Sus scrofa: one gene and its partners. The protein of the gene in region 7 interacts with the protein of the main gene of each other region in a biochemical or structural test. Links are inferred from orthologs where the notes say so. Each region holds a gene or a part of one and is shown on either strand. Other genes may lie near its edges. The genes, in order: CFTR, RPS6KA1, ABCC4, SLC15A5, SLC22A12, SLC34A1 and PDZK1.

Region 1 (3,788 bases), on a different chromosome or scaffold from region 7:
TAATAACATTCCTCACCAGGGAAAGCATTTACCTCCAGGAGCCTCAAAAGCCTTAACAGAAATGAGTCCACCTCATCCTCAGAATTTCCTTGTGACTAAACCTGAGGGAATTTGTAAACATCACTTGAAAGAATCTGTGACAGTTTTGAAAGTACAATGAGAAGGAGGGTGGGAGAGGCACTAAGCTGAGCTCCAAAAAATGGCTAGAAAAATGAAATAAACCTTTCACTACTGCATTAAATCCTACAGCAGATTGGAAGATGATCCAGGCCTGTCCTCCTGGATCCCATCCAAGAGAGATTTAGTTACCGAAAGCATCAGGACTTAGTCTTTTTCATGACTTGATCCCCAAATAAAAGACTCAAAAAGTATACCTGTTCCAATTTGTTAATGTCACTTAGTACTATGCCGCTATTTTAGAGGTTGCTGAATTCCAACCTCACATTATTACACAGATCAAAGTAAGAAACTTGAGCAGGTATTTTAAGTAAATCTGGGAGCTGTATGCCACATGTTTTAAGGAAGAGCTTGTACGTTGCTGTGACTTGCAGGAACTTTCACATATGAAATTATTATCAAGAATCAAAGGAGACATAAGATCCTAGGTAAATTATAAATACTCACCAAAAATCGTTGACATTCCAACATTGCTTCTATCCTGTGTTCAGAGAGGATTACTGTGCAATCAGCAAATGCTTGTTTCAGGGTTCTTCGAATGATTTGGTACGTTCTAGAAAAGAAAAAAAATACCACATATAACATTACAGAACAATAATAGTCTGTCTCTATCCTTGATAACATACCTATTGTTCTATCAATTTAGTTCTTTAAATCACTCATTTTTCCTCAAATACGTTTAACATAATGTTGACATAGAGTCAGTCACAATCAGCTTTCCAACCATGACATAGATTCTAAGCTTTCATAAATAAATAAGAAAAATATTTGGAAAAAATTTAGAAATTAAAAAAAATTCCCCAATAAATGTATTTTTCATTATGTCAAATCACTAGTAGTTCTTTATTTTGTGCTATAAGTATTTTCTAGTGTATAAATGGGATAGTAAGGAAAACCATAAGGATCCAACTATGCCTAACTGGATATTTCATCACACACTGATAAGGGGGAAGACTTTGTATGAAATTCCAAATTCACACTCAGAAGAGAACATGTGGCTCTTACACTAGGAAATAAACACTTGTGTTCACGTCAAGTAATAACTGTTAAACTGGGTCATTATTTCATATCTAGAGGGTGGTCCTCTACTTACAGACATGATAGCCTGATAGAAATTTGTGTCAATATGAAGCAGGCTTCAATGATTCCACTCCCACCGTGTTATTAAAAAGCAGGAATTCTGAAACTCACATGGGATCCAAATGAGCACTGGGTTCATCCAGCAGCAAGATCTTTGCTTTACCAAGAACAGATCTGGCCAAGCACATCAACTGCTTGTGGCCGTGGCTTAGCACACAACCCCCATCTACAAGGACAAAATCAAGCTTCCCAGGAAACTGCTCTATCACAGATCTGAGTCCAACCTGCATAAAAGAAAGATGAAAAGCACTGTGCTTAGGAGGAGTTCACATTCTACAGGGTTAAACACACTTAAGAGGCTGACAACCTGAAAAGATACACAGGAGTTCTCAAAGTTTAAATTTCATACCAACCCACCACACTCCTGCTATTTGGGTTTAACTGAACAACAGACTCTGCATAATCTTGCAGCTTTAAAACATTGGTCTACGGATTGTTTCAGCTGTGTACTTTTTCTTTCATGAGATTTTAAATGAGTGCCTATTATGTGTCAGATCCTCCAAAAGGAATTGAAGAAATGATAAATGGTCCATGGCAAAGATTAGGGTTTGTAAAAACATACCTAGATAGTTACAATACAATTGAGTGCTTTCTAGAAAAGATATATATAGAATGCAGTTACTCTCAGATTCTTTTATACTACTTTCCATTTCTGTCATAATAGACCATGAAAGGTAGTATAAAAGAATCTACTGAGAAGGTACATAAAACAGCCTGTGGCAACTCACTCTTCATCTCTTTAATTTGTACAAACTGATTTTAAGAAATTGATGACACTATAAAGTAAAAATAACTGGAGTTGAAATAGCTGTATGTTACTGGAGATTTAAAGATGCTTAAGTGTTGGGGTCAAATATGAGAGTTGTGTTAGGGTCAATGGCTTATTTTTTTAAGCTGGAAAGGAAAATAATTGGTTGAAAATGCAAATGAGATATAGAAACTCATTCTTTCCAAAGAAGATAAAAATAAAACCTTGCCTCATCACATCACTTACTCAATATACATTGATATATATTTTGTGCCAAGTATTGCTGAGTGTTTGAGGGCTAAAGAGATAGATAGGTAATTATATCCTATCTTGGGGGAAGTCTGGATTTAGTATTGGAAGGTACGATGCACTCCCACCTATCTGTAACACAGGCAGAGTTAATGGCCACAAGATAATGGCCTTATGAAAGACATTCATGAGTTCAGTGATGAATTCATGGATGGCCCACATTGCCATGTTTGTTCAGCAAATATTAACTGTGAGCTCATGATATGTATTGCAGACAATACCCCTTTCCTTGTCACGGTTTCTCATGAAAGAAACCTCACTTTGTGAAAATTCATTAATGTTTGAAAAGAGTTTCTGAGATGGTAGGGGGTGGAAACATATTAATTAAGCAAAGGGGACTACTCTAACATATCCTGGCAGACTCCAACATAAAATTAATTCTGGATCCAAGGAGCTGAGAATGGGAACAAGGACTACTGGGCAATAAGCTGGAGGACTTGTTCTCTTTCTTTCTTCATCTTTTGTTTTCCTTGGCTTCAGCCTGTGAACCTACTACGTCTCTCCCCTCTTAACACAACCCCCCTTCCCCCCGCTTGCCTCCAGCTTCTCCTTTAGCTGTTATTTAATATCTACCCCCTTTGTCATCTAGAAATCTTAAATAATGACTATGCGCCTGTTGTCTCCACTGCCTGAGACCACAGAACATTTTTTTCTTCTTCAAACATCTGTTCCTTGGTTTATGAGAAACCGTAACCTCAATGACCATTTCTTCCTATTATCTTGTGTAGACAACTCTCCTTCTTCCTGCCCCTTGAGTATTAGTTTTCCTCATTCCCTACTTTCCAAATGCTCCTTCTGAGATCTCATTCATTCTTGGGGTATCAACTACCACCAATAAGCCAATGATTTTTCATCTTTCTCTCCAGCCCTGGACCTCTTCCCAAATACTTCTGATATCCTCCACCTCCTCCTTGCTAATCCTATTACAGCAACCCTAGTCCAGGCCCTTATTATTTCAAGCTTCAGGCTGTAGATCTCAAGTGGACAATTTGTCACCTGACATCCTCTTGGGGATCCTTCTAAAAGAGAGGTTTGACCATATATATATCTCTGTTTTACATCCTGTTGTGGCTTTCTTCATACAGAATAATCGAACCCTCTCACGTGGCACCTAAGGCATCCAGAATTGAGCCCCCTCCTCCACTTCTACTTCCAGCGGTATTAAACACACAGCCTATACACCTTGACTTTCTCAGGTTTGTGCCATTGCTTTGCCTGGAGTACTCTCCCGACACTCCTCATCATCCTTTAGGGCAGTCAGGTACATAGGCACAGAAGCATTTATGTAAATTCCCCTGCTGGACTGTCAGCTGCTTGAGGGTAAAGATTTGTGCTCCTTAGCTCAGTGCCAATGCCAGACACATTGTCAGCCTCAACACATTATTCATTTGTTCAACAAATATGTACTAAGCTC
Region 2 (4,292 bases), on a different chromosome or scaffold from region 7:
AGAAGTTCCTAGGCCAGGAATCGATTTATCACCATAGCAGCGACCTGGGCTGCTTTAGTGGCAACACCAGATACTTAACCCACTGAGCCACAAGGAACTCCTGGGACTTTTATTCTTTTTTTTTTTCAGCTTTTTTTTTTTTTTTTATGCCTTTTCTAGGGCCGCTCCTGTGGCATATGGAGGTTCTCAGGCTAGGGGTCGAATCGGAGCTGTAGCCGCTGGCCTACACCAGAGCCACGGCAACGCGGGATCTTAGCCATGTCTGTGACCTACACCGAAGCTCACGGCAATGCTGGATCCTTAGCCCACTGAGCAAGGCCAGGGATCAAACCCACAGCCTCATGGTTCCTAGTCAGATTCGTTAACCACTGAGCCACAACGGGAACTCCGATTCTTTAAAGTTTTATTGAAGTATAGTTGATTTACAATGTTGTGATAATTTCTACTGTACGACAAAGTGATTCAGTTAAACATAAACACACACCCATTCTTTTTCAGATTCTTTTTCAGATTCTTTTCCTGTATAGATTATCACAGAACGTTAGGTAGAATTCCCTGTGCTTTACGGGAATTCTGTGACTTTCCCAGTTGGCTAGTCATTTCATATACCACAGTGTGCACCTGCCAATCCCAAACCCTCAGTCCAGGACGTTTATTCTTTAAAAAAACAAAACAAATCAAAAGTGTCTGTGGGATGCCTGCTCAGACCCACGGGTCTGAATTTCAGGCCCAGGGAATCTGCTTGCTCCAGGTTGGATTTGGGGATTTTTATGCCAGATGGAGAGGAGGCTGCTGAAGGCATCCCGGGGGTGGGGCAGGGGTGGCAGATGCAGGGGCAGAGACTGAGGGCCCACAAGGAACAGGTTGCTCACACTGGTTGCACTGAATAGTTTCCCTGGGGCCTGGTGAGAGACAGGGCTAGAGAGATGGGCAGGGCACCAAGGGCCCAGCCCTGGACACTGCCAAGAGATGTGAGGAACAAGTAGAAAAGAGAGCCCTTCTTAGCCAGGGCTGGGGGGTGGCTGTGTTGGGTGGCCAGGCCCTTGGTAACTGCCTTCGTCCTCTGGCCAGTGCGTGACCGTGTTCGGACTAAGATGGAGCGAGACATCCTTGCTGACGTAAACCACCCGTTTGTGGTGAAGCTGCACTACGGTGAGACTACAGACAGTACCTGAGCTCCCACTCCACCTGCCAGCCGTTGCCTTTGCTGCTGGGCTGTTGCCTTCCCCATAGGACCCCCCCCCCCCGTCTGACACCCAGGGAGCTGGGGCGGAGGGCGGGGCCCAGGGCCCAGCTGGCTCCACCACTGCCTTTCCCCTCTCCCCAGCCTTCCAGACCGAGGGCAAGCTCTACCTTATTCTGGACTTCCTGCGTGGCGGGGACCTCTTCACACGGCTCTCCAAAGAGGTGAGCTGACTCCCTGGGGCCCACTGCCAGAGGGACCCAGGATGGGGCTGGTGGCACAGTGAGGCCTCTCAACCTCTCCCCAGGCCTGCGCAGAAGACCCTGACCCACCCTGAGACAGAAGCCATTCACTGGCAAAGCCTCTGAGAGTTTCCCCTAAGTTGGGCTGAAGGGAATCAGGCTCTGGATCTGATGCCACCCTGATTCCGGGGAGCTGAGGGTGGCTCTCACCTCTTTATTTCCATTCCTTCAGGGCTTCCCTGGGTGGGGCTGGGAGGATGGCAAGAGGCCCAGGTCCACCCAGAAAGCTCGATACTTTAATATTATGTCCACTGTTAACCAAAAGGATCTTGAACTGATGTGAAATAATTTGAACCAGATATAAAAATGGGGCCATTGGGATTCCTACTGTGGTGCAACAGGATCGGTGGCGTCTCTCCAGCCCCAGAACACAGGTGGCGTTGCTGCAGCTGTGGTGTAGGTTGCACCTGTATGCTGTGCGGACAACCAACAAAAAGGAGTGGGGACCATTAATACAACTTAAACTTTAGAAGAAAATGAAACTTTTAAATGTTATTTTAATGTTTGAATAGGTAATACATGATTAACAAGAAAAATGTTGGAGTTCCCATCATGGCTCAGTGGCTGGCGAATCCAACTCGTGTCCTTGAGGGCACAGGTTTGATCCCTGGCCTCGCTCAGGGGGTTAAGGATCCGGCATTGCCGTGAGCTGTGGTGTAAGTCACAGACGAGGCTCGAATCCCATGTTGTGGCTGTGTTGTAGGTCAGCAGCTGCAGCTGATTCAACCCCTAGCCTGGGAACCTCCATATGCTACAAGTGCAGCCCTAAAAAGCGCCCCCCCCAAAAAAAAAGAAAGGATACTCATTGAGATGTCTTCTTCCCACCCCAGCCCCATACCCCCAACCCCCACCATAGGTAAACATTTTTATTCATTTCTTGCCTAAGCTTCCCACGTTTCTTTGGAAATACAAACCCATTCAGCCTGTGTTCTGAATCCTGACCCCCTACTTTCTTGCATACAATATATATTTCTTACATATATACTGTTTTGTACTTTGCTTTTTTCATGATAGTATGTCTTGGAGATGGATCCGTATCAGAACATGGAGGAACCCTTGTTCTGGTTTACGGCTGCATAGCACTCCGTTATGTGGGGGGAGTCATTTAGTCTGCTGCTTGACCCTTGGGCTGTTTCCAGGATTTTGCTATTTGCATTTCAATGCTCCCATGAGTGACTTGGATATTAGTCATTTCGTTCTGCAAACCCCTTCATAAAGAGAAGGGTGTGTGGCCCTGGAATCCCTAAGGAGGACCAGGAAGCTGCTGACTGCGCAGTGCCCCAGCTCCCGAGGAAGAGGCGATCCAGCTGAAGCTCCCTCCTGCCTTTTGCAGGTTATGTTCACGGAGGAGGATGTGAAGTTTTACCTGGCCGAGCTGGCTTTGGGCCTGGACCACCTGCACAGCCTAGGCATCATTTACAGAGACCTGAAGCCTGAGAAGTGAGTGAAGGCCCAGCCCCGCCCGGCCTCCCTAGGGTTCAGAGGCAGGCCCTGGGGTCTCTCCTAGGACAGAGCCAGCCTAACAGGGGTGGGTGTGACTCTCCCCAAGAAAGTGTCCCTGTCTTGGGCTGCCCCATGAATGGGTGGGTGGAGCAGAGTGGGCTGCCTGATCACTAGCGCTGCCATTACCAAGGACCAGTCTCCTCGGTAGCTGGGTGTTACCTACCATTTTGCTACCCTGGTGTGACATCTGAGATGCCCCCATTAAAGGATATTCCTTGATATAATCCTTTCTAGAATTTTCCTTAACATCTAAATATCCTTAAGTGGAACTTGGGAGCCAGAGGCAGGTGCTGAGGTAGAATGAGACTTGGCTTTTAGAGTGAGGCAAACCCAAATTCAAATCTTGCCTCCACCAGCCTGGCTCTATGACCAGGGGGAGCTATTTCACCCCCCTGAGCCTTAGTTTCCCCATTGTTAAAAAAATGGAGCCATGAGGGAGTTCCCGTCGTGGCGCAGTGGTTAACGAATCCGACTGGGAACCATGAAGTTGCAGGTTCGGTCCCTGCCCTTGCTCAGTGGGTTAAGGATCCGGCGTTGCCGTGAGCTGTGGTGTAGGTTCCAGACGCGGCTCGGATCTGGCGTTGCTGTGGCTCTGGCGTAGGCCCCGGGCTACAGCTCCGATAGACCCCTACCTAGCCTGGGAACCTCCATATGCCAAGGGAGCGGCCCAAAGAAATAGCAAAAAAAGACCAAAAAAAAAAAAAAATGGAGCTATGAAAGTACCTACCTCACACAGTTGTTTCAAGAATTAGCAAGAGGGAATTCCCATTATGGCTTAGCAGTAACAAACCCAACTAGTATCCATGAGGACTCGGGTTCGATCCCTGGCCTCACTCAGTGGGTTAAGAATCTAGCATTGCCATGAGCTGGTGTATAGGTCACAGATGCGGCTCGACTCCTGCATTGCTGTGGCTGTGGCATAGGCTGACAGCTACAGCTCTAATTCGACCCTAGCCTGGGAACTTTCCATATGCTGCGGGTGTGGCCCTAAAAAAAAAAAAAAAAAAGAAGAATTAACAAAAAGGTAGGCAACACACCTGCACAGCACCACCAACACCCGCTCCACCCACCCATTCATCAGATGGACCTGGGTGGACCACCTGCTCTGGGCTGGGCCCAACCTCCACAGCCCCCAAGGTGTCACCAGCACCCTCCAAGGGCCCATGGCTGAGGGGTCTTGACTCCCATCTCTCCATTGCAGCATCCTTCTGGATGAGGAGGGCCACATCAAGCTCACTGGTGAGTGGAGGGCGCTTGCCCCTCAGGCTTCAGGGGAGGGCAGGATGGGCTCTTGATGGGCCTGG
Region 3 (4,292 bases), on a different chromosome or scaffold from region 7:
CAGTGGGTTAAGGACTGGCATCGCCGTGAGCTGTGGTGTAGGTTACAGATGTGGCTCAGATCTAGAATGGCTGTGGTATGGTGTAGACTGGCAGCTGTAGCTCCGACTCAACCCTAGCCTGGGAACCTCAATATGCCACAGGTGAAGCCCTAAAAAGCAAAGAAATATGTATACACACACACATATACATACATATACGAATGGCTCTGAGTTGTGAAAGATCATTGCGTATTTTCAGGAGAAAGGTTTCACCCAAGAATTGTTTGAAATGAATATTTAAAATACATAGCACAATGATAGAAGGTTGCCCTGTATGTCGGGGTCAAGTTTATGTTTATCATAATGGCTTCTGACGTGGGTTCCTGAGATCCATGGCTTCTGCTTTGTGGTCTCAATCAAGTTGCTTTTCCTCTCCCAGTGCCTCAGTGTCTCCATCTATAAAATGAGACTGGACTATTACTAGTAAGGGTACTGCGAGGAATGGTGAGTTCACAGGAGTGAAGTATTGAATGCACAGCCCTGCACATTCAGCAAATGTTAAGTACGCAAAGAAAAAACAAAAACAAACAAACCAAAAAAACCCAACCTAGAAAGAGGAATTCTCATTTCCAGAGGTCTACATTTGAATTTTTCTCCCTTTCCTGGTCTTGGAATTTGCAATTAACCCTTTCTTTATCCATACAGGTATAGTTGAGGCTTTTGGATTCCTCATCTGTGTTACCTGCTTGCTCTAGTAATACCTACTGGTTCATAATTTGGAACTCAGGTCCTGCTGTCTGAGTCTGAAATAGTCCATCTGTTAAAAATCATGTTTGGCACATAGTAAGCTTGCAATAAACATGAGGACCACCTAAATTTTTGTTTTTTTTCTTGGATAGGAACGCATCCCCTACTTTTCAGACTTGCCTTTGGTGGAAAGGAGTTTAAGCCTAAAAAAATCAACCCATTAACACTTATTTTTGATAAGAATGTTTGATAGAGAGGGCTCTGTATCTATTTTCTTTATTTCAGACATTTCTACAAGTGATGGGTGTGGTGGGAGTCGCGGTGGCGGTGATTCCTTGGATTGCGATTCCTCTGATTCCCCTTGGCATCATTTTCTTTGTTCTTCGGAGATATTTCTTACAGACATCACGAGATGTGAAACGCCTGGAAGCTACAAGTGAGCACCTGGGCCCTCTGGGATGACAATGCAAACTAGCTTCCATTTATGCTGTAATTAGTAAAAATATTAATAAATAACCATCATTATTAAGACAAAATCATGAAGTAGAATTGTTATGTTTAAAAGAAGTTATCTGGACAATGTTTATGTCAGAAACCTTGACTGGATGGTTGCTGCAAATTAATACTAACTTTCTAGAAACCAAGCCAAGAAAGAGGTATATTGTGTTCCATAGTTCTCTGTATCTACTTCCTTTCCAGAAGGGGTGTAATCCCTCCTCCTCCAGGCAGCCCCCCAGGAAGCTCCCGGTGTGCCCTTTGGTGGGAATTGCGACCCCAGGGTGGGGGAGGTCGTTTGTTTCCTGGCATCCAGGCTCCCTGACCTTCTCTGTCGTGTCTCTGCTTCCCCAGCACGGAGCCCGGTGTTTTCGCACTTATCGTCTTCTCTCCAGGGACTCTGGACCATCCGGGCGTTCAAAGCTGAACAGAGGTTTCAGGAGCTGTTCGACGCTCACCAGGATTTGCACTCAGGTCTGTACGTTTCTAGAAATAATTTCAAGAGTTGGGATATGCTGCCTTCTGCGGCTTGACCTCCTTCTCAGGTGGCTCTCTCTCTGCGCTGCCTGCCTCTGCACATCCTCCCCCACCCCTTCCTCAAAGCATCTTCTCCGTTCCCTCCGTGTCCCCAGTCACACCGCTATTTTACTCCCCTGACTGGTTTGCACGGTCCTTGCATCATGGTGCCCTGTTGCTTTGTGGACCCTGTTGCAGCATTCAGTAACCCTTTTTTTTTTAAAAGATCCAGACAGTAAAGTAAACATTTTAGGCTTTGTGTGCCACCCTGTCTCTGTTGTATCTAATCAGGTTGCAGAAAAGCAAGGCAAACATAATACAAATGGCCATGGCTGTGTTCCAGTAAAAGTTTATTTGCAAAAGTAGGTGATGGGCTATTCCTGGCCCCAGGTTGTAGTTTGCCCCTCTCTTTGCAAAGCATGCAAGGTGGCCTAAGTGACTGAGGAAAAGAACTGCCTCATAGTCCGAGTTTCCGCCCACTTGATGTATGTTATTCTTTGCAGCAGTGATATTTTTTCCTTAGGTAGAAATTTCAGAATTTCCCCTAAGTCTGTAAAAATCCTGGCCCACCTTTCCAATCTTTATTGTATTTCGAGCTTAAGAAAGGCATTTTGCAAGCCACGTGCAGATCCTGTTAGCTGCTGCGCTCTGCTCTCAGAGAACTGGGAACGGTTGCCACTATGAGAGGATAAGCCTGACACCGAGGCCCAGCCCTGCAGCGAATGTACCCATTGTACCGTTTGTCCGTGTTCTTTATTACAGTTATATTTCTGTTTATACCCCGTGGGTTGAAGTCTCCCGTGCTTGCGTCTCACAAGGCCCCTGGCCTGATTCCTCTGTGTCCCACATGTCCTCTTGTGTCAAAATCTTGCTTTTTGGACTCTTCAGGCTCCTCACATGTTCAACTTGGCTGTCCTACTTTGTGTCACAATCTTCTGTCGCTCAACCTAGCACAGAGCTCTCCCCTACTCAAAGCGGTTAAGATGGTGTTTCTGCTTATTCACTCTCCTTATTCCGCTTCACAAATCCAGAGGCCTGGTTCTTGTTTCTGACCACGTCCCGATGGTTCGCCGTGCGTCTGGATGCCATCTGTGCCATGTTTGTCATTGTTGTTGCCTTCGGGTCCCTGATTCTGTCAAAAAGTGAGTACAGATGTGAATAACTGTGCTACGATCGCAGTTTATATAACTGCATTTACAGTTATTAAGGGAAACTTTTGCTACCTAGTCGAACATCAGAGGCTGTATGGTCCCCATGACATGTGTTCAGGCATTGGTAGTGTGGGGCTCAGGCGGAGGAGTCATTTGGGTCTTAAGCACACCTTTTATCCTTTTATCTTTTTTGAGTGGGTCGAGGTCTACACCAGTTTAGCAAACTGACCATATTTGGGAGGAGAGAAGCACACTTGCTTTTTGTGTAGGTTCAGCGCTTTAGGATTCAGCTGAAGCGCTGCTTGGATCTTGCGGTTGCAAGTGCCTGATAGACTGAGGTGAGAAAGATTCTCTAAGAGAAAACACTGCCCTCACTGCTGTGGGTACCAGAAGAGCAGGCGTTGACGCGCCTGGCATGAAGTCACCGTCCCTAACTATTCCGTCATAACAACCCAGAATTACAATCTTGAATAATGGAACAGTCAAGAGTATTATTTTAGTTTTCAAAGCACTGGTGTTCTTAGAACCCATTGCCTTGTTTTTCGTGGTTTCCAGCTGCGGCTACTTTGGACGTAGAAAGTGAGATTATCAGTGAGACCATAATGACGCAAGTCTGAATAATAACACGATTCCCCCACCTGTGTGGTGCTGTGCAAGTGTATTGAATAGCTTTCTGCATTCTTCCGATTTGGATTTTTTGGTCTGTTTTTCTTTTTTTTTCCCCTTCGTATCATCGAGTCCATCCGTAGATAGTCAAAGTACAAGTAATGCTATTGTCATACGCACATGATTTAAAAATCGCAAGGGAGTCTTGGTAAAGTGATGGAAGTGGCCGGGCTTGAGGGTAAGCGTGGCCTTGATGTTATTCTTCTTCTGCTTCTTCTCTTGCAGCTTTGGATGCCGGGCAGGTGGGCCTGGCGCTGTCCTACGCCCTCTCGCTCATGGGCATGTTCCAGTGGTGCGTCAGGCAAAGCGCCGAAGTGGAGAACATGGTGATGTCTATCGTAGCCTTCCTGGCTTTTTCAATTCTTCTTTCTATTGAACGACCTGCATGCAGTTCTCACGTAAAATAGCTGAAACCGTTATTTTCCATTGTAGCTAACAGACTCCCATCTGTTTAAAGTTAATGTAAAATAAAATATATACATCTTTTTCTCAGTCTTCTGGATGCCATGTCAGCAGGTTTTATATTCATCACAAACTGTCTTCAAATATAATAAATGTCTCGGTGGGAGGGAGGTTCTGGAGAGGATATGAGCTCATTTCTTAGGGACTGGTTTATTTTTGTTTCTTTATGGTTACTTCCTCATTTTTGGAGAAAAACAATTCAGTATTTTGAGGTCGTTTGTTCAATTAATAGGAATCTCCTCCTCCCCGCACCCCCCATATTAGGATTTATTCTTA
Region 4 (4,746 bases), on a different chromosome or scaffold from region 7:
ATCTAAACAGCCTCCATCATGTCTAATCTTATGCCACTTATGATTAAAATTCCTGCAGGAAAACAGCAAAAAGACTGTCTTAGACCATGGGGTTGATCCCCAGACCAGAAGAAAGCTCCACCAGGATCTCCTGTTACAGATGGAAGCCATCCCCCAAAGGTAGGATGACCACACACTGGGGTTTGCCCTAGGCAAACCCCAGGGTGTATCTGTTTTTCAGGAATAAGAAGCATCGCTTTCACTCACAAACATGTCCAAGTTTGCATAATAAATTGCATGATCGCTCTACACAAAGGAAAAACGGGGTGTTGAAGAGGGGGAGAAGCAAGGCTGAGAGGATGAAAACAGATGCCTTTACAATGAGACTCTTAGAAGAGGTCAACACAGAATGTTTTGCTCCCAATCTCTCAGGTCAAAGATATGAACCAGAGTCAAAAGCCTTGATCAGTCTTTTGCTTTTGATTGCAACATGAAAATAACATTCCTATACTCACCCCCTATGTTTTGAATGATTATGACTTTGACCCAATAATTCCATTCCCTTGTCTTCCTATGTCCTTGCAGCTAAAGCCCTAACTGTTAAAGTGTTCTCTTTTACTGATGCTTTTTAAGTTTAATTTGTGCTCACCCGCTTTCCAAAATAGAATGCTAACATCCATTCACTCAGCTGGAGGGTCAGGGTGATTCCAAATTCAATATTCCCCAAAGCATGTATATGGGATAGTTGCTGTACCCCTGTTGCTGACTAATAATGAGTCAAATAGCACCTTTTGATTCTGATTTCCTCTGAGAGGCTGTTCTACAAGCAAGGGGTCAACTTAAAGGAAGAGGGTTTTTGTTTAATATTTTCTCCTTTCATTAGTACACTTAAATTACTTTCTTGCAAACTCTGCTTGTTACCTAAATGTACTAGCACTTTTGTTACCTAATTAGCTTTCTTATCAGAATTCAAACCAAAAATAACAAGAAATGTAATAACGATAAGGTATCCTGCCCCCTCAAAACAGATTTCCTTTCACGCTTTATCTCTTAGTACTGTTCTGGCTTGTTTAATTAAGGTATCAGAAATTATTAGACTCAAATTATTTCTTGATCTAGTGCTCAAATTCTCCTGAAAAACTGCTTCTTCTGCTTCTGTTTTTAAACCTTTATCAGTGTGAGGCAGATGAGTTTCCACACCTATGGTACTAGATTCATGTAAATCAATATAATTTTGGAGGAAGAGCCTAATTTAGCCTGTAAGTAATTAGACAAACAAATCAGATTGGGCTACATTGAACTACCATGGTTTAAACACTCGTGTCTCCTCTCCTGTGCTCCTGGATCATTAAAATGAACAACATTAATGTGCAAAAACCTTATGAAACTTTAGCACAGAGTTGTGAAATTCAAAGCAAAGATCTTATTTATTTTTTCATTAGAGGGGCAGGGGCAAAAATCACCAGGTTCAAACCACTAGCATACATAGCATTCAAAGAGGGTAGTCATGTCTGTTATAGGCTTTAAAAACACCGATGAGAAAGTATCTTTAAATCACAGGATTGAGAAGGAGGAAACTGTAAGCCATATTGGTTATTTCTCTTCATCATACTCTGTGAAAAAAATTCAGCTTGGAATCTGTTTGCTTCTAGTGGAGCTGTGTGAGAGGTTCACTTTCTTTGAAGTTGTCTGCAATATGATCCCCTTTTGCACCGTCAAGCTTGGCTACCACAATTATCAGGCCGCCATTTTGAACCTGTGTTTTATTGGGACATCAATCCTTACCCCTGTGTTTGCAGGATGGCTTGCTGACATCTGCCTGGGAAGAAACAAACTGGTCTATATTTGCTTATTTCTGCATTTCCTAGGTGAGTGCCCTTTTCTGACTGCATTGCTTTGCAACTTATTTGACGGTATTTTTGTTAGAATATTTGGTTTATGTTATTCCCACTTCCTTTTAGCGTAAAGTGTAATAAATGAGCTAAGACTGTTGTTTCAATTTATCTTAGTCTCTGTATTCTTTGAGGGACACTGGTATGTGTGTGTGTGTGTGTGTGTTATAGGATACTTTGATATGTTTATTATTGCACTAATTATATTTTATAATAATTATCTCTTCACATGTCTCTCTTCTCTACTCTATAGAACACACTCCTTTCCCTTCTTCTTACTGCAAGCCCAAATTTGTGACAAATTCTGTGTGAAAATATGAAGTTCATTTGCTTCACAGCTAAAGTGAAATGTGCTAAAAAGGTGTTTCGAAGTTCATGCAGACTAATTGAGAAACATTTTCATCAAAAGGCAGGCTTTCCATTTGCCATATAGTAATTAAGATTGCATTTGAAAACATGATGTCCCTATTATGAACTACGGCTACATGCTAAAAAAACAAAATGAGTGAGTGAGTTTAACACTACATTCTGCTTCTTTTCATAGTGAACAAGAGTTATCTCTACAAAAATTTGGGAGTGAAGTGATTGCAAGCAATGTTGGGGAAATAGCAAGTTTGTTTGATAAGGTATAGAGATCAAGTTGATGAACAGTCTAGAAATTAAGGCTGGAAAGTCCAAGTTGCTCTTCTAGACAACAAGGAGTTACTGAAACTATGATGAACACATTGGGGAAGTGCTTCAATAAACAGGATGAACAATCACAATGATAGCTTAGAGAGACAAGAGAAAATCTCAGGATGCTGGTCTAGGTGATGGAGAAAACTACTAAAAAACTCCTCTCCTCCCAACTTGTATTATAACACTCACCTCACAACCCCCACCCCGGGCTCCTCACCTGTGTGTGTGGCTTCAAGGCATTGCATGAGAAATGAGAGAAATAAAAGGGCTTTAAAAGGAAAAAGAGAAATAGAAAAAGAAAAGAGAGGCTATGATCTCCTCTACAATAATGTTCTTAAAACATTTTATTTAACAAGTTTCTGAGTGTCTGAGATCATTGAGTTTTCTCTCATTCCATTGATTAAGAACAAACAACTCTTACCAGTGGTTTTCTGGGAGGAGAGGGACTAAAAACATCTTTAGTCTCTCACATCAGGTATTTCTGAGTTGTTTTAATTTTGTCAAAATAGACACAATTTGCTTAAACATTTTGAGAGAAAAAATAGCTCAAGTTTGAAGGGAAAAAAACCAGGACTCTATAGATTCATCAAAAACACATATTGAGGGAAATATTTACATTGAGGAAAATTGTATTACCTCCAGAATTGCCATGATGAAATATTTTAATAAGACAATCACATAATGAGGCTCTGTTCAGAGGAAACGCCTTATTTATGATATGGTTTGTTGAGTCAATGGTCTATGCATATTTATTCCCTTTTTCCTTTATCTCTAGGAACTGCTTTGTTATCTGTGGCTGCTTTTCCCTTGGAGGATTTCTACATAGGCACTCACCATATGATTAACAACATACCAAAAAAGGAGCAGAACAGGCTGTTTCACGTAGCCCTTGTGGCCCTCTGCCTTGGCACAGGAGGAGTAAGAGCCATTGTCTGTCCACTGGGGGCTTATCGTCTTCAGGAGTATGGACCCCAGAATCGAATGTCTGTTTTTAACTGGTAGGTAGCATGGGCTAGGAGGGAAAACAGGTTTATGACATTCTTCTCCCTTTGGGCGTTTCTCATCGTTTGCTCTCTGGTCCCATTTTGATGGTGGTAGTTTAACCTTTGTCGTCGAGTGGGCTGGGTAGATGACAGTGGGACAATACCTGGGTAGTGACAAGGATTTAGCCAGTAATTATGGGAGCCTATGAGTTAAGGATAGACCCACACAGCTTATCAGCATCAGGTAAACATGTGTGAAGTGGTTTTTCATATGAATAGAATGTGGATTTGGAACCAAATAGGCCTTGGCGGCAATCTCAACTCCACTTCACAAAATTGCCTGACCTTGTTCTTTGTGAGTTGGACCACTGCTGAAGAGTTATAATAATACCTCTTCTTGGGTTTTATCATAAGTGATAATATGTGTATTGCTGGCCAAGAATGTAGCAGTGGAAGTAATCAATAAGCAGTAGATATTATGATTAGTTACGTCTATATGGTAATAGACTTAGAAGGCAGGGATTATAAATTCAGAGAGAAGATGATAATGCTTGAAGAAGTATTTTACAATTTGTTAAAACATCTACTAGCACCTCTATTTCACATCCACTCTACCTCCAACTCTTGAAAGAATTTATACTCCATGAAAACCAAACCACCATCTATGAATCTTTGTCTCTCCCAGTGAGTTCTTGTACAGTTTTATGTGTTTTGAAGGAACCAATTTTTATCAAAAAAATCCAAGAAAAAATTGAAATTTTGATCTTGAGGCTGAGTATTTCAGCATTTAGTAGAATTATTGATCACTAGATGTCAAATAGATCTGATATATATATATATGTCATATATACACATATATGTACATATATATATTGTTTTTTGCTTCCTCTTCTCTTTGAAATGGGTTAGCAACATTTTCTAAAATATGCTGTCTTTCCATCAATGTTAGCAGTCGATAAAAGCAATGCATAGGCAACATCAGACAAAATATTTACAGAAAATTCATATTAAGTGATTAAATAAAAAAACTTTGGAATAAATATTATCTAGATATGTGTAGCTATCTAAGAGAGTTCCTTTTTCTCTTTCCTTCCATCTTTCTTTCTTTTCTTCTTTCTCTCTACCCCCACCCATTATATTAATATTGCAAAGCACTCAGGCCTATTTTGGATTAAGTCCAAACATTAGAGAATAATGCAGTTTCACCAAAGGTG
Region 5 (3,532 bases), on a different chromosome or scaffold from region 7:
CGCTGGCAAGGGAACCTGGGAAATGTAGGCTGCCGACCACCCACCACCATGCGAGCCTGCGGAAGAGGGTGGAAACAGGTCTGTAAACAAACCAGCAGCCCGATCTCCAGGCTGACTTCACCTGCCCACCCCTGCCCTCCAGGTTTGCCTTCGGTTTCACCTTCTACGGCCTGGCCCTGGACCTGCAGGCCCTGGGCAGCAACATCTTCCTGCTCCAGGCCCTCATCGGGGTTGTTGACATCCCGGCCAAGATCTGCACGCTGCTGCTACTGAGCCGCCTGGGCCGGCGGCCCATGCAGGTGGCGTCCCTGGTGCTGGCGGGGCTCTGCATCCTGGCCAACATGCTGGTGCCCCACGGTGAGCGGGCAGGCCTGGGCGCAAGAGGCCATGGCCAAAGGCTCCCTCCGTGGAGGGCTTACGCATGAAGAGAGACCCTTGTCCCCCTCCTCTAAGGGCCCTGGACTAAGCAGGGCCCAGGGAGGAAGGAGGCTCTTGGGGCCTGGGGGAGAGATGGTGGTGGCTGGAGCAGAGTTGGAGGGAGCAGGCAACATCGTGAACATTTGTGGAGAGAGAATAAGAACTCGGTGATGGATCGCAAGGAGAGGGGAGGGCAGAGAAGTGGAGGGTCTGGCTCCAGGTGTCTGGGTGGGGAGCAGACGGGGGTCGGGGGCAGAGAATGCGGCCATGGTGTCACTTAGGACACAGCACATGTCAGGGATCTGGGGTCACCCAGGTGGAGGTGACTGCAGACATTTGGAAGGTCAAGGAGAGAGTCCCCATTTGACCCCAGGGACCTGCCCACGCCCCCACTAACCTCACCTCTATCCACAGAGATGGGGGCCCTGCGTTCAGCCCTGGCGGTACTGGGGCTCGGCGGGGTGGGGGCCGCCTTCACCTGCATCACTGTCTACACTGGGGAGCTCTTCCCCACCGTGATCAGGTGAGCCCCAGGAGGGGGGCTGAGAGGGTGCGGTGGGGGTGGCCTCCACCCAGATCCGGTGTTTGGGCCCCCAATCTTTCCTTCACGTGGTCACGGTGCTCCCCAGGTGCAGCCCAGCCCAGCCACTGTGCCTCCTAGGGCTGAGCAGGGCTGGGTCGGAGTGAGAGGTCAAGGCTATGGGCAGGCAGTGTGGCCCCTCACAGGTGCATCTGTGCCGGCAGGATGACCGCGGTGGGCCTGGGCCAGATGGCAGCCCGAGGGGGAGCCATCCTGGGGCCTCTGGTCCGGCTGCTGGGCGTACACGGCGCCTCCCTGCCCCTGCTGGTGTACGGGGCGGTGCCGGTGCTGATTGGCCTGGCTGCGCTGCTGCTGCCCGAGACCCAGAGCCTGCCGCTGCCCGACACCATCCATGACGTGCAGAGCCAGTGAGTGGACCCAGCCCCGGGACTGTCCCCTCCTCCCTCTAGAGAACCCCAGAACAGGGCAGGCCTGGCCACCCGCCCCCGATGCTGGACAGAGGAAGAAGCAGAGGCCCAGAGAGGGACAGGATTGGCCCAGGGTGGCCCAGCTCATCCTTAGGAGAGTGGGGACCAAGGGCTGGGGCTCCAGGCTGACAGCGTGGACTTCGCCCTCCGCCCTTCCTTCCACTATGGGAGATCTGAATGGCCCAGCTTGCACCTGCTGCACGTGGAGAGAGGTCAAGGGGAGGGGCGTGTTGGACCACTTTGCAGTGGGGAGAGCCGAGGGTGACCACCTGTTGGAGGTCCTGGCAGACCCCTACTCTACTGAGAAAGCCCCTAGATGCCCCATCCCTCCCCTGCGATGAGCTCAGAGACTCAGTCCTGGGTCCCCGAGGGCAGGGCAGCAGTATCTCCTGAGTCCTCAGGATGGACTCGGTCAAGGGTCAGGGGTCGCACCAACGAGACATAACCCTCCCTGTCTTTCCTGGACAGGGCCGTAAAAAAGGCGACACGTGACACTCAAGGGCATCTCGTCCTGAAATGCACACGATTTTAAGCCTCCTGTGAAGCCTGCCAAGGGACATGGGAGGAGGCTCTTCTCCGAGGAAGGAGAGCAAAGGCCTTGGCTTCCGACTTGACTTCCAGAGGGCCCGGGGCTGCCGCTGCAGCCGAGCCAGCCTCCCCCTGCTAAGGAAGGAGCCACCTCCAACACAGAAGGAGCAAAGGATGCTGTGACTGGCAGGAGGCTGCCGGGCGCCCAGCTCCTTCAAGGCTGCAGAGAGGAGCAGAGCCGGACTCTGTGCCTCCCTCACTGCTCGCTGCCCCCCGAGCCTGAGCCCGAGGCCCGAGGTCAAAACCTCCCTGCTTCTCACCCCACCCGGAGGGCCCCGCCCAGCTCCTCAGCGTCACAAGAAAGATGCCTCCGGCCCCTCCCACTTCTCGCCACACTCCAGCCACGTGCCCACTCCCTTGCCATCCCCGCAGCCGTGTCTTCTGCCCAGAATGCCTCTGCCACGGTTGCCACTACCTGACAAACTCCCACGCAGCCTCCCAGACCCAGGGCAATGGCTTCGTTCTGGGGCCCCAGGCTCAGCCCCAGGTGCTCATGCAATTGTAGCGCGGCCATAGCCACATCCCTGTCGCCCCACAACCCCAGCCTATGAGCTCCTAGAGGGCTGGGGTGGTCCTCCTCTGCGTGTCCCCAGCTCCCACGCAGAGCAGAGGGGCACTGGGCAAGAGAGAGAGCAAATAAAGGAACCGAGTCCAGTGATGAGCCCCCAGGGTCTGCTGTCAGCGCTTGCACGCACACACAGGAGAAGGTCAATGGGAAACGGGAAGAGGCTCCCTGCCCCCAGGAGACAGGATCACTCCGGGGCTTGGTCTTATCTGCTGCAGGCCCTGTGCCTCCAGGGGGAAGGGGAGCTCGTGTCCTTTAGCTGTCTGCCTGTGGCCGCCCCTCACTCAAGACCCCCAGGACAAAGGGAGATGATGTTTGGAAAGATGCCCAAAGGTGAGGTTGTGCCAGGCTGCCGTAGGCGATCTTTCTCGTCTGCCTGCTGCCCGGCCAAGCCCCAGATGCCTTTCTTAGCCTTGCTTAGCATTCTGGGGACCCCAAGGTGTCCAGAAGGCAGAACCCAGGGCTGCAGGAAGATGGCCATTCTCCTGCTTCTGGCCAGGCCAGCAGCTCACCCAGGAGGGCATGTGGGAGGAGGAGTGCCAGGCACCAGGGCTCCATACTCACCTCCAGGAGGACAGTGTCCTCCCACAAGAGCCCAGCACTGGCTGAGCTTGTGTTCCCTCCCCTGGGGGCTTTCGTGGCCAGAGCAGGTCTTCAAGGTCAAAGGCATCCGCCAGACTTCGCTGCCAGCTTCCTCCCCGACCCCTGCCTTTTGTCCCCTGCGGGTGGAATCTCCTGACACAGCCCTGCAAATACCAGTTGAGGAGCGGGGTGCCTGGAATTTCAGCTACCCCCAGACGCTGTTTGGATGATCGTGGGAGTCATTGCCAGGCCAGCCAGATCCCAAGGAGGCCACGTCAGGCCAGTGTCAAGTTCAATATCAGATGCATAGGATGAAGGAACCAAGAGCACTGTGACCACCTCTTACACAGGAGTGCACCAAGTCAGTGGCAG
Region 6 (5,034 bases), on a different chromosome or scaffold from region 7:
TGAACCAGGAGGAGTTGTTGACCCACCACTCCTGAATCTGATAAAATATGTATTATTTTGGCAGCATGTGGAATTTCCCAGGCCAGGGACCAAACTCCCGCCACAGCAGTGACCAGAGCCACAGCAATGATAATGCTGGCCCTTAACCCATTGAGCCATCAGGGAACTCTCCCTACTTTTTTTTTAAGTTTTTTATGCTTTTGATTTTTTTTTATCTGATAAAATCGTGTTTGTGTGTGTGTGTGTGTGTGTGTGTGTGTGTGTATCTTTTCTAGAGCCATACCTGAGGCATATGGAGATTTCCAGGCTAGGGGTCTAACTGGGGCTGTAGCTGCCAGCCTACACCACAAGCCACAGCAACTTGGGATCTGGGCTGCATCTGCAACCTACACCACAGGTCATGGCAACACCAGATCCTTGACCCACTGAGGGAGGCCAGGGATCAAACCCGCCACCTCATGGTTCCTAGTCGGATTCGTTAACTGCTGAGCTACAATGGGAACTCCTGATCTGATAAAATCTTAATCCCTTAGAAGGGGCACCCCCTTCTCATCTCTCTGTGATCATAAGCCCAAACTCAGGCTCCAAGGTCCCAAGAAAGAGAAAAAAGTCTCCTTAACCCTCCTGTCTGGGTTTCAGGAATTCTGCAACAGACCTGTGTCATCATTGGCTTCCTGATCCAGAAACCCAATCATTACATACTTCCTCTTGCTCGCACCCTCCCCTGGCTTCGCTCAGTGGGTTAAGGATCCAGTGTTGCCACAAGCTGCAGCGTAGGTCACAGAGGCAGCTCGGATCTGGTGTTGTTGTGGATGTGGTATAGGCTGGCAGCTGCAGCTCTGATTCAACCCCTAGATGGGGAACTTCCATTTGCCTCGGGTGTGGCCCTAAAAAGGAAAAAGAAAAAAGATACACCAAGTATCCCTAGGATGCATTCTCTCCTCTCCATCCCTCTTCTTTCCACTTTGATTCAGACCTCATCATCTGTCACCTGGACCATCACATCAGCAATCTCTCCTTCCAGACTCACACCTCCCACCCCCTGCCTTTTTATCGGTTATGCCCGAAGTATGTGGAAGTTCCAGGGCCAGGGAATTCTCACCATAGCAGTGACTTGAGCCACTACAGTGACAACACCAGATCCTTAACCTGCTGTGCCACCCTGGACTTGCTCCCTTTGACACATACCACGCCACCCCACCCCCAACCCCAAGACCATTCTAAAGTGCAGACCAGGCCCTGCCCTATCTGGCCAGAGGCTTCACATTCTCCAGGCTCACATCCTGGATCTGTGGTCATGGACGTCCCACAGTTCAGCACAAATAGCCTCTCTGGGTGTGTCTTCTGTTGCTTCCTCCCTCACATTCTCCCTCTTTTCCAAATGCCACTCAAGTCACACAGACAAACCCAGAGACACCCTGATGGAAGGCAAGGCTCAAGGGTGTTTGGGCCATTCCCTGGGGAGCACTGTCAGGCCAAGAATAAGGAAAACGGGCCAGAGCCATGAAATCTCAGGGGACCCTCGGAACAAGGCACCTGAGTGATATTAGGGTCTCTGCCTGGGGGTGTGGGATGCCTCAGTGCTCTCCTTGCTGAATCTGGATCATGGTTCAGGCTGAGTATCTGTGCGGGGGAGGAGAGAGCCTGACCACAGACTCCCCCTTGCAGAGCAGACGATTAGCAATTAACTGGGAGGAATCTAGGGGGTTAGGTTAATCGGGGGAACAGAGGGAGAGCAGCTAGGGTTCTAGGGACTTTGCCCTTGACCCGAGGGTATAAAGGGGAGGGTCCCAGGTTCCCTCCTGGTCCCTCCCAGCCCTTCCTAGGGCTTCCCTGAGCAGCTGAACAGGAGCTGAAACACAGAACACCAAGGTGAGTCCAGGGTCCCCACATCCTAAACCCATCCCCAACACTTAGGTGGAAACAAGCCCCTCACCTCTGTCCTCACCATGCCTCCGTCCCTGTCCCCTACCACATCTTAGTCCCATCCAAGCCTGGCTCACTCCCCCAGAGTGAAAAGGACTCATGCTCTTCCAGGGCCCGGCATTCAGCTCTGCATACCTGCCCCCAATCCTAATAGCCAGGACCCTTGGAATAATGTTGGGGTGGAGGGAGGAGGTCCTGAAGCAGACTGGGGCACTCCCACCTCAATAGCAGAGAACTCCTGGGGCAGTTCAGGAGGGCCTAAGGCAAGCCGAGGTCTTCCCAGACTTGGGGACAGGGTGAGGGTTCTGCTTAATTAAACCAGTCCTGGTCTGAGCCTCATTCATGGCAAAAAGATCACCAACATTTTTTTATTGCTTGGGGGTGGGAATGGATGGGGAAAGCACTTCACTTGTGAGGGTGAATCTCTTGGCCCCAGGAAGCACTCTGGTGGCACCTGTATCTGTCATTAGGACACTTGTTCCCATTGTCATGTTCCATCTATCTGAGAGCTTATTTCATTGACATGTGTCTCCCCACTAGACACTGAGCTTCATGGGGGCAGAGCTGCATCTGTATTAGCCAGCTGTACCCTGGCGTTGAGCTCAGTGCCTGAGATAGAGTAAATAAATACTTGCTGAATGAATGAATGAACGAACGAATGACTGAATGAACGAATCCCCAAATGTGTGACAACCACCTGAGTGTGCTTTTCTGGGTGTGTATTTGGGATCACACACCATGGGTGTTTGTGCACATGAGTGAATGGGTGTGTGGATGTGGGGGGGAATGGCTGTGTGTGTGTGTTTCTGTGACACAGCAGTTGTCATTCAGTTTGGGCCCCCTGATGTGCAGGGCCCACAGAGTGTACCCAGGATGATGTCCTACGGAGAGAGGCTGGGGGGCCCGGCTATCTCCCCGCTCCCAGTCCGCGGGGGGCACATGATGCGTGGGGCGACCTTTGCCTACGTGCCCAGCCCGCAGGGTGAGTGCTATTCCTACTCTGAGTCCCTGCCTGCCCTTGATTGGTCGCCCACATCCCGGGTGAGGCCTCCTCTCTCCCCCCCACCCCCCCTCCCCCCTCCTCCGAAGTGACACGGGGCCTCAGGAAGTTCGTGACCGGCCTCCCTCCCCAGTCCTGCACAGGATCCCAGGGACCTCAGCCTATGCCTTCCCCAGCCTGGGCCCTGTGGCCCTCACCGAGCACGGCTGCTCCTATGGGGAGGTTCTGGAGCGCCATGACCCGCTGCCCTCCAAGCTGGCCCTGGAGGAGGAACAGAAGCCAGGTGGGCCTGGGTGAGGGGGGAAGGTGGGCCGCCAGTCACTGACTCAGACTTTGGCCACTGTGCTCACTGCTGGCCTGTCTCCAGAGCCAGGGTTGGCCCAGAAGCTGCGCCAGGCTGGCTCAATGCTCCTCAAGGTGCCGCTGATGCTTGCCTTCCTCTACCTCTTTGTCTGCTCCCTGGACGTGCTCAGCTCAGCCTTCCAGCTGGCTGGAGGTAGGGTGGTGGTGGGGGGACCAGGGAAGGGATCTGAAGAGTCTCGGAAAATGCTGCCTCATGTTCCCCAGGAAAGGTGGCTGGCGACATCTTCAAGGACAACGCCATCCTGTCCAACCCAGTAGCAGGGCTGGTGGTGGGGATCCTAGTGACCGTGCTGGTGCAGAGCTCCAGCACCTCCACATCCATCATTGTCAGCATGGTCTCCTCTGGCTGTGAGTTGGCCCACCAGGGCCAGGGAAAGAGGGAGGGGGCTGGGATGGGAAGGGCAGGAGTGGGAACAGGGGGCCAAAGGGCAATGGGCAGCTCTGGCATCTTGCACTCCATCCTCCAAAGCATGGCCTGGAATCTCAGCCAGGAGGAGATATCCCAGGAGCTGGGAAGAATGGCTGATTAGGAACAGAGCCTCAGGAGGGCACACTTTCATGTCACCACACAGTAGCTCATTCCATCCATCAGGGGAACAGAACCAGAGAAACCAAAGCTGCAGGAAGCACATACAGATCTATGACTTATTGCAAGAAATTGGCTTACTTGATTGTGAGGCTGGCTGGGCAAGTCTAAAATCTGTAGTGCAGGTTGTCAGCAAGGGCAAGCTGAGACTCCTGGGCAGAAACTGCTGTTTCAGTGCACAGCTGGAACTTTTTCTTGCCTAAGGAAGCCTCAGTTTTACTCTGAAGGCCTTTAGTCTTATTGGATGAGGCCCACCCAGATTACTGAGGTTGATCTCCTTCCCTAAAGTCAATCAACAGTTGAGGCAAATCACATGTGCACAATTCCTTCCCAGCAACATCTAGATTCGTGTTGGATTGAATTACTGGGCACTAGCTAAGCTGACACATGAGCACACACAAGCACATTTGCATATTATTTGCATATACGACCCATGCCCTCGTGGACACATACCCACGCACACGTTTACACATATGCAGGTGCAGTGTATGTATACTGGCTCACAAGCATGCACACACATAAACACACAGCCGCAGAGGCCAAGGCTGGGCAGAGTCATGGGCCTGGATGTGGGTAGGGGTTCTGGCAGGAGGGGTGGGGCAGGAGGTGGGTAGTCCCTGAACAGTTAGCTAGGAGGCACGCTCTTCTATCAGTGCTGGAGGTGAGCTCTGCCATCCCCATCATCATGGGCTCCAACATCGGCACCTCGGTCACCAACACCATCGTGGCCCTGATGCAGGCGGGGGACAGGACTGACTTCCGGCGGTAAGAGGGTAGAGCGGTGAGGGGCCTGTCCTTGTAGGAGGAGGGTGGTCCCACAGGCCAGGAGCCCCCAGGCTGAGCACATCCTGGCTCTGAGCCTATCCTGCAACACGGCCTCCCTGCCCAGGGCCTTCGCGGGGGCCACCGTGCACGACTGTTTTAACTGGCTCTCAGTTGTGGTCCTGCTGCCCCTGGAAGCTGCCACCGGGTACCTGCACTACGTCACTCGACTTGTGGTAGCCTCCTTCAACATCCGTGGTGGCCGTGACACCCCTGACCTGCTCAAGATCATCACGGAGCCTTTCACTAAGCTCATCATCCAGGTGAAGGCAGGACTGGCATTGGGCGGGGGCTGAGGGACTGGGGAACCTCACCCTCACTCCCTCTACCAACATCT
Region 7 (4,292 bases):
CTCTTTACCCACTACCCTATACCCCCCAAAGTAAGTTCCATAGGTAGGTAGGTGGGTTGTGGTTGGATCTTTGATATATATCAGTGAATACAACTCCTAAACCAGTTCCTGACATCTACTAGACACCCAAATGTTTGAATGAAGAAAGAGTAAAAGCTCAGTAAGTGTTTAATGTTACTGTACTTGGCCTCAATATTAGCTGCTACTGTCAGATAACGGTTGATTTGCTTGTTTGGGTAGTGATGTCAGAGGCATTTTTTGCATGTGATGAGTCATTCTGATAATTTCCCACATTCTAAAGAGAGAAAGAAATGCGGAGCATTTGCAAGTATATCACTGAAATGTTTGAAGTTATTAGCTAAACTGGGTAACTAGGAGGTTCTGTGCTGGTGCTACGCTTGTTTAGAAAGGCAGATGTAGGACAGATGATACCAGGACCCCAAATCCAATTGCAGCCAGGCTGCTGAACAGTAAGCTCAAGGGCAGAGGATGTTGTACTCATCTTCAATTGCTTGATTTTCTACTCACTGCCAACAAATGTCCTGGACAGCTGTGCGCAGCAATTTAGCTGCTGATCCTAGACCTTATGGTACCCAAATATACTCTTTTAATCCTCACAACTAAAACCAACAGCCAGCTAAACTCTTTATTCCCTCTCATATTCATATATATATATATATATATATATGACAACAAAAAACCCAGTCACATGCTTCCTGTTCTCTACCTCTTTTTGCATTTAAGACAATCACTGCCTTCTTCATATGGATTGTCTAGAGTTGAGATGGATTAGAAGTATTTAAAGATAGTGAGTCTAGTATAACAGAAATGTCAGGTGATGGTTACAATAATAAACAGTATTCAAGATTGGAGGGGGAGGTGAGAGAACCAAGTAGCAAAGCATTGGAATTAACTTGTTACCGTATGTGACCAACTGTGTGATTGCCACCACCCTCTACCCCTCTCCCCAATTAATTACTGTGCTTCAGATAGTGATAAAAATACTGTCTCATGTTTTACTTTCTCTAATGTGTTTAAGCTCTGAAGACCACCTTATTGAAGGGGAAGGGCCAGGTGAACCTACTTTGCCCAGAATACTGGGCAAGTCAATGTTGATAATTTCCCAGCAAGGAGAACGCCTGTAGTTTGTTCAGTGACTCGCTCAATATCATGGAAACAAAACCCAGTAATTCTGGTAGACTTATTTTTGGATTCTTGTACAACATTCTGTACTGCTTTTATTTTATGTATACATACATTTGTTTACATGTTTATGCTCATTACTCCTTAACAAGCTCAATTTTGCTTTATATCTCTTCTGTTTGGGTCATAATTATATAGCTCACAACCAGATGTATCTGGAAGAGGAGTGGAACATGTATGACGCCTTGTAAATTAAACCAGCACACTTAAAGTGCAATTTCTAATGTTTTTTCCCCCTTTGTTTTCAAAAGGCTCGTATTTCTCCTTTTCTCTACTATCAAAGTCAAGAACTGCCCAATGGTTCTGTCACGGAGGCCCCTGCTCCTGCTCCTCTGGAGGTCTCCAGTCCAGACACTACAGAGGAAGTGGGAGATCATAAACCTAAACTCTGCAGGCTGGTTAAAGGTGAAGATGGCTATGGCTTTCACTTAAATGCGATTCGGGGTCAGCCAGGCTCGTTCGTCAAAGAGGTATGGTGATCTGGTTCTGGCAGCCCAATGAACACAGCCAGTTAGAAGGGCCTCAGTTTCTCTCATTCACTGATGCCTCAGTAAAAAGTACACTGAGGGTCTCCTTGGGTTCAAATATGTGCTATAACGGTCCCGTACCATTTAAGATAGTTGCTAGCATGTCCCAAGCTCACATCTTTTGTTTCCTAGACATCTGTTCCACATAATTGTCTCTTTAATTACTTTAAACAGAGTAAGTTGGCACGACTGCAGTTGACAGTCACTAACAACTCTGACTGGGAGTGATACTTGTTTGCTTCTGTGCATTTGGCATAATGCCCCTACCCTGCAGGGACTGACAGTGAGATGATTGCTGCGAAAGCTCTCAAGTTGGGAATGAAGAAGGGGGACCTATGAAACCTAATGCCTTCAACCCCAGAAGACATACAATGTGATATTCAACCACTGTGACACTACTCATTTGAGTGGGGAAGTTGTAGCTTTTACAAGCAGAAAAGCACTAGAGCACCATTCTCAGCTTCTGTATGTCAAGGTGAAATAACATCACCTCTCCTCTGAAGAATAGCTAGTCTAATCTTCTGTTGTCCGTGTTTGGAGGTGATAACTCAGGACTTCTGCTCACAGGTACAGAAGGGCGGCCCAGCTGACCTGGCTGGGCTGGAGGATGAGGACGTCATCATTGAAGTGAACGGAGTGAATGTGCTGGATGAGCCCTATGAGAAGGTGGTGGACAGAATCCAGAGCAGTGGCAAGAATGTCACGCTCCTAGTCTGTGGAAAGAAGGCCTATGATTATTTCCAGGCTAAGAAAATCCCTATTGTTTCCTCTATGGCTGATCCACTAGATGACGCCCCTGATTCTAAAGAAGGAACGCTGGAGGAATCGGAGCATGACTCGCACACGGCAAAAGAAAGAGTGAGTGATGACACATTTCTTTTAATGATCTGACTAACCAGAGTATAGTAAAGTCCTTAATAAGCGCATTACACATCTATGTTTATCTCAGATTTCCTAAAATACTAGAAAATTACAGTGTAACAAGAACTAGCACATCCAGTTATTGAGGGGGAGAGAAGGTAAAGACAACACACTTCTTATTTTTCACTGCGTGGAATTGACAGTAATTGCCTAAAGTTCATAAATCGAGAAATAACAGAAGCTTATCAAAATTATAACAGGAACCACCAGAAGAACCTGAATCAGACTCTTTACGTACAAATTCTGGATCTGCCATTTATCATCCTTGGCCAAATGGATTTATTCTCTGTGCCTCATTTTCCCCACCTTTAAAATAAGGATAATTTGTAGGATTGTTATCAGGATTATGTTAAATAAGATTTTTAAAGTGCTTTGAACAGTGCCTAGTTCATGGTAAGAGTGAAATGAATGGTGGTGGTTAGAGACAGTATTGTTCTTATTATTCAAGTCTATTACTAGGGAAGAGTAAGCATTATTCTATATGTACTTAGATTAGATAAATTCCTTGGTAAGTCTCAACCTTTCACAGATGAACTTGAGAACTGACCTATCCAAAAGCGAACTGACCTATCCAAGTTCATAAAGGGAATGTATAGCAAAGCCAAAACGCTAATAAAAGCTTTATACACTTTCCATTACATTAATTCTACTGATTGATAATATATTAAAAAAATACTCATTAAAAACTATTTTTTTGGCCATGCCTGCAGCATGCAAAAGTTGTAGGGCCAGGGATCAAACCCACACCATAGTAACGACCTTTGCCCCAGCAGTGACAACACAGGATCCTTAACCTGCCACGCTACCAGGGAAATCCCAAATACTCATTTTTTTTTTGTTTGTTTTTCTGCCTTTTTTAGGGCTGCTCCTGCGGCATATGGAGGTTCCCAGGCTAGGGGTCTAATCGGAGCTGTAGCCACAGGCCTACGCCATAGCCACAGCAACGTGAGATCCGAGCCACGTCAGCAACCTACACCACAGCTCACAGCAATGCTGGATCGCATTAGGAACCTCATGGTTCCTAATGGGTTTCGTTAACCACTGAGCCACAACGGGAACTCCCCAAATACTCATTTTTAATGAACACATGCTTAGTCTGTTTGGGCTGCTAAACAAAATATCATAGACTAGGTGGCTTATAAACAACAAGCATTTATTTCTCACAGTTCTGGAGACTGGGAAGTCCAAGATCATGGCACTGATAGATTCAGTGTCTGGTGAAGGTCTTCTCGCTTGCAGGCTCTTGACTTCTGGCTATGCCTTCACCTGGTAGCAGGGGCTAAGGGGTCTGGGAGGACTCTTTTATAAGGGCAGTAATCTCAGTCATGAGAGCTATGTCTTCACCTCCCAAAGGCCCAACCTCTTCATAATATCACTTTGCGGAACAGGATTTCAATTTATGCATTTTGGGGAGATACAAATATGCAGATCATAGCACACATGATAGCCACTGAACTTGTATTCTGGGTTGTTTCACAAAAAATGTATTCTAGGTATCTTTAAAAAATTCTATAATATCTCTATAGGAAGTTAATTATAGTACTATGCTAGTTTGGTAGAAAAGGCGTATGTGTATGTGAGTGTGTGTATAGACACACACACATTAAGAAATGTGTTAGTGTCAAACAAAGCCAAATGTAG

What was found.
Region 1: the proteins of PDZK1 (region 7) and CFTR form a complex in vitro, tested with the Homo sapiens proteins (2 studies listed by BioGRID and IntAct, with this or other methods). The link is inferred for Sus scrofa from reciprocal best matches to the Homo sapiens genes PDZK1 and CFTR.
Region 2: the proteins of PDZK1 (region 7) and RPS6KA1 interact in a test that uses a peptide from one of them, tested with the Homo sapiens proteins (2 studies listed by BioGRID and IntAct). The link is inferred for Sus scrofa from reciprocal best matches to the Homo sapiens genes PDZK1 and RPS6KA1.
Region 3: the proteins of PDZK1 (region 7) and ABCC4 form a complex in vitro, tested with the Homo sapiens proteins (2 studies listed by BioGRID and IntAct, with this or other methods). The link is inferred for Sus scrofa from reciprocal best matches to the Homo sapiens genes PDZK1 and ABCC4.
Region 4: the proteins of PDZK1 (region 7) and SLC15A5 interact in a test that uses a peptide from one of them, tested with the Homo sapiens proteins (2 studies listed by IntAct, with this or other methods). The link is inferred for Sus scrofa from reciprocal best matches to the Homo sapiens genes PDZK1 and SLC15A5.
Region 5: the proteins of PDZK1 (region 7) and SLC22A12 form a complex in vitro, tested with the Homo sapiens proteins (2 studies listed by BioGRID and IntAct, with this or other methods). The link is inferred for Sus scrofa from reciprocal best matches to the Homo sapiens genes PDZK1 and SLC22A12.
Region 6: the proteins of PDZK1 (region 7) and SLC34A1 form a complex in vitro, tested with the Homo sapiens proteins (2 studies listed by BioGRID and IntAct, with this or other methods). The link is inferred for Sus scrofa from reciprocal best matches to the Homo sapiens genes PDZK1 and SLC34A1.

Annotation. Positions count from the first base shown.
Region 1 is NC_010460.4:28,629,955-28,633,742, forward strand, and holds part of CFTR (cystic fibrosis transmembrane conductance regulator), read right to left. Parts: intron 1,542-3,788; coding exon 1,369-1,541; intron 731-1,368; coding exon 625-730; intron 1-624. UniProt on the Homo sapiens protein: Epithelial ion channel that plays an important role in the regulation of epithelial ion and water transport and fluid homeostasis. Mediates the transport of chloride ions across the cell membrane.
Region 2 is NC_010448.4:83,923,309-83,927,600, forward strand, and holds part of RPS6KA1 (ribosomal protein S6 kinase alpha-1), read left to right. Parts: intron 1-1,071; coding exon 1,072-1,152; intron 1,153-1,327; coding exon 1,328-1,407; intron 1,408-2,818; coding exon 2,819-2,925; intron 2,926-4,189; coding exon 4,190-4,227; intron 4,228-4,292. UniProt on the Homo sapiens protein: Serine/threonine-protein kinase that acts downstream of ERK (MAPK1/ERK2 and MAPK3/ERK1) signaling and mediates mitogenic and stress-induced activation of the transcription factors CREB1, ETV1/ER81 and NR4A1/NUR77, regulates translation through RPS6 and EIF4B phosphorylation, and mediates cellular proliferation, survival, and differentiation by modulating mTOR signaling and repressing pro-apoptotic function of BAD and DAPK1.
Region 3 is NC_010453.5:64,134,790-64,139,081, reverse strand, and holds part of ABCC4 (multidrug resistance-associated protein 4), read left to right. Parts: intron 1-1,011; coding exon 1,012-1,162; intron 1,163-1,575; coding exon 1,576-1,695; intron 1,696-2,768; coding exon 2,769-2,879; intron 2,880-3,779; coding exon 3,780-3,880; intron 3,881-4,292. UniProt on the Homo sapiens protein: ATP-dependent transporter of the ATP-binding cassette (ABC) family that actively extrudes physiological compounds and xenobiotics from cells.
Region 4 is NC_010447.5:56,344,385-56,349,130, forward strand, and holds the start of SLC15A5 (solute carrier family 15 member 5), read left to right. Parts: upstream 1-1,486; coding exon 1,487-1,847; intron 1,848-3,324; coding exon 3,325-3,547; intron 3,548-4,746. UniProt on the Homo sapiens protein: Proton oligopeptide cotransporter.
Region 5 is NC_010444.4:7,556,961-7,560,492, reverse strand, and holds the end of SLC22A12 (solute carrier family 22 member 12), read left to right. Parts: intron 1-142; coding exon 143-357; intron 358-831; coding exon 832-940; intron 941-1,161; coding exon 1,162-1,365; intron 1,366-1,893; coding exon 1,894-1,957; 3' UTR 1,958-2,671; downstream 2,672-3,532. UniProt on the Homo sapiens protein: Electroneutral antiporter that translocates urate across the apical membrane of proximal tubular cells in exchange for monovalent organic or inorganic anions. Involved in renal reabsorption of urate and helps maintaining blood levels of uric acid.
Region 6 is NC_010444.4:80,560,068-80,565,101, reverse strand, and holds the start of SLC34A1 (sodium-dependent phosphate transport protein 2A), read left to right. Parts: upstream 1-1,721; 5' UTR 1,722-1,872; intron 1,873-2,778; 5' UTR 2,779-2,799; coding exon 2,800-2,908; intron 2,909-3,059; coding exon 3,060-3,209; intron 3,210-3,293; coding exon 3,294-3,422; intron 3,423-3,493; coding exon 3,494-3,637; intron 3,638-4,528; coding exon 4,529-4,640; intron 4,641-4,764; coding exon 4,765-4,960; intron 4,961-5,034.
Region 7 is NC_010446.5:99,652,259-99,656,550, forward strand, and holds part of PDZK1 (Na(+)/H(+) exchange regulatory cofactor NHE-RF3), read left to right. Parts: intron 1-1,454; coding exon 1,455-1,673; intron 1,674-2,297; coding exon 2,298-2,588; intron 2,589-2,593; exon of another isoform or gene 2,594-4,292. UniProt on the Homo sapiens protein: A scaffold protein that connects plasma membrane proteins and regulatory components, regulating their surface expression in epithelial cells apical domains.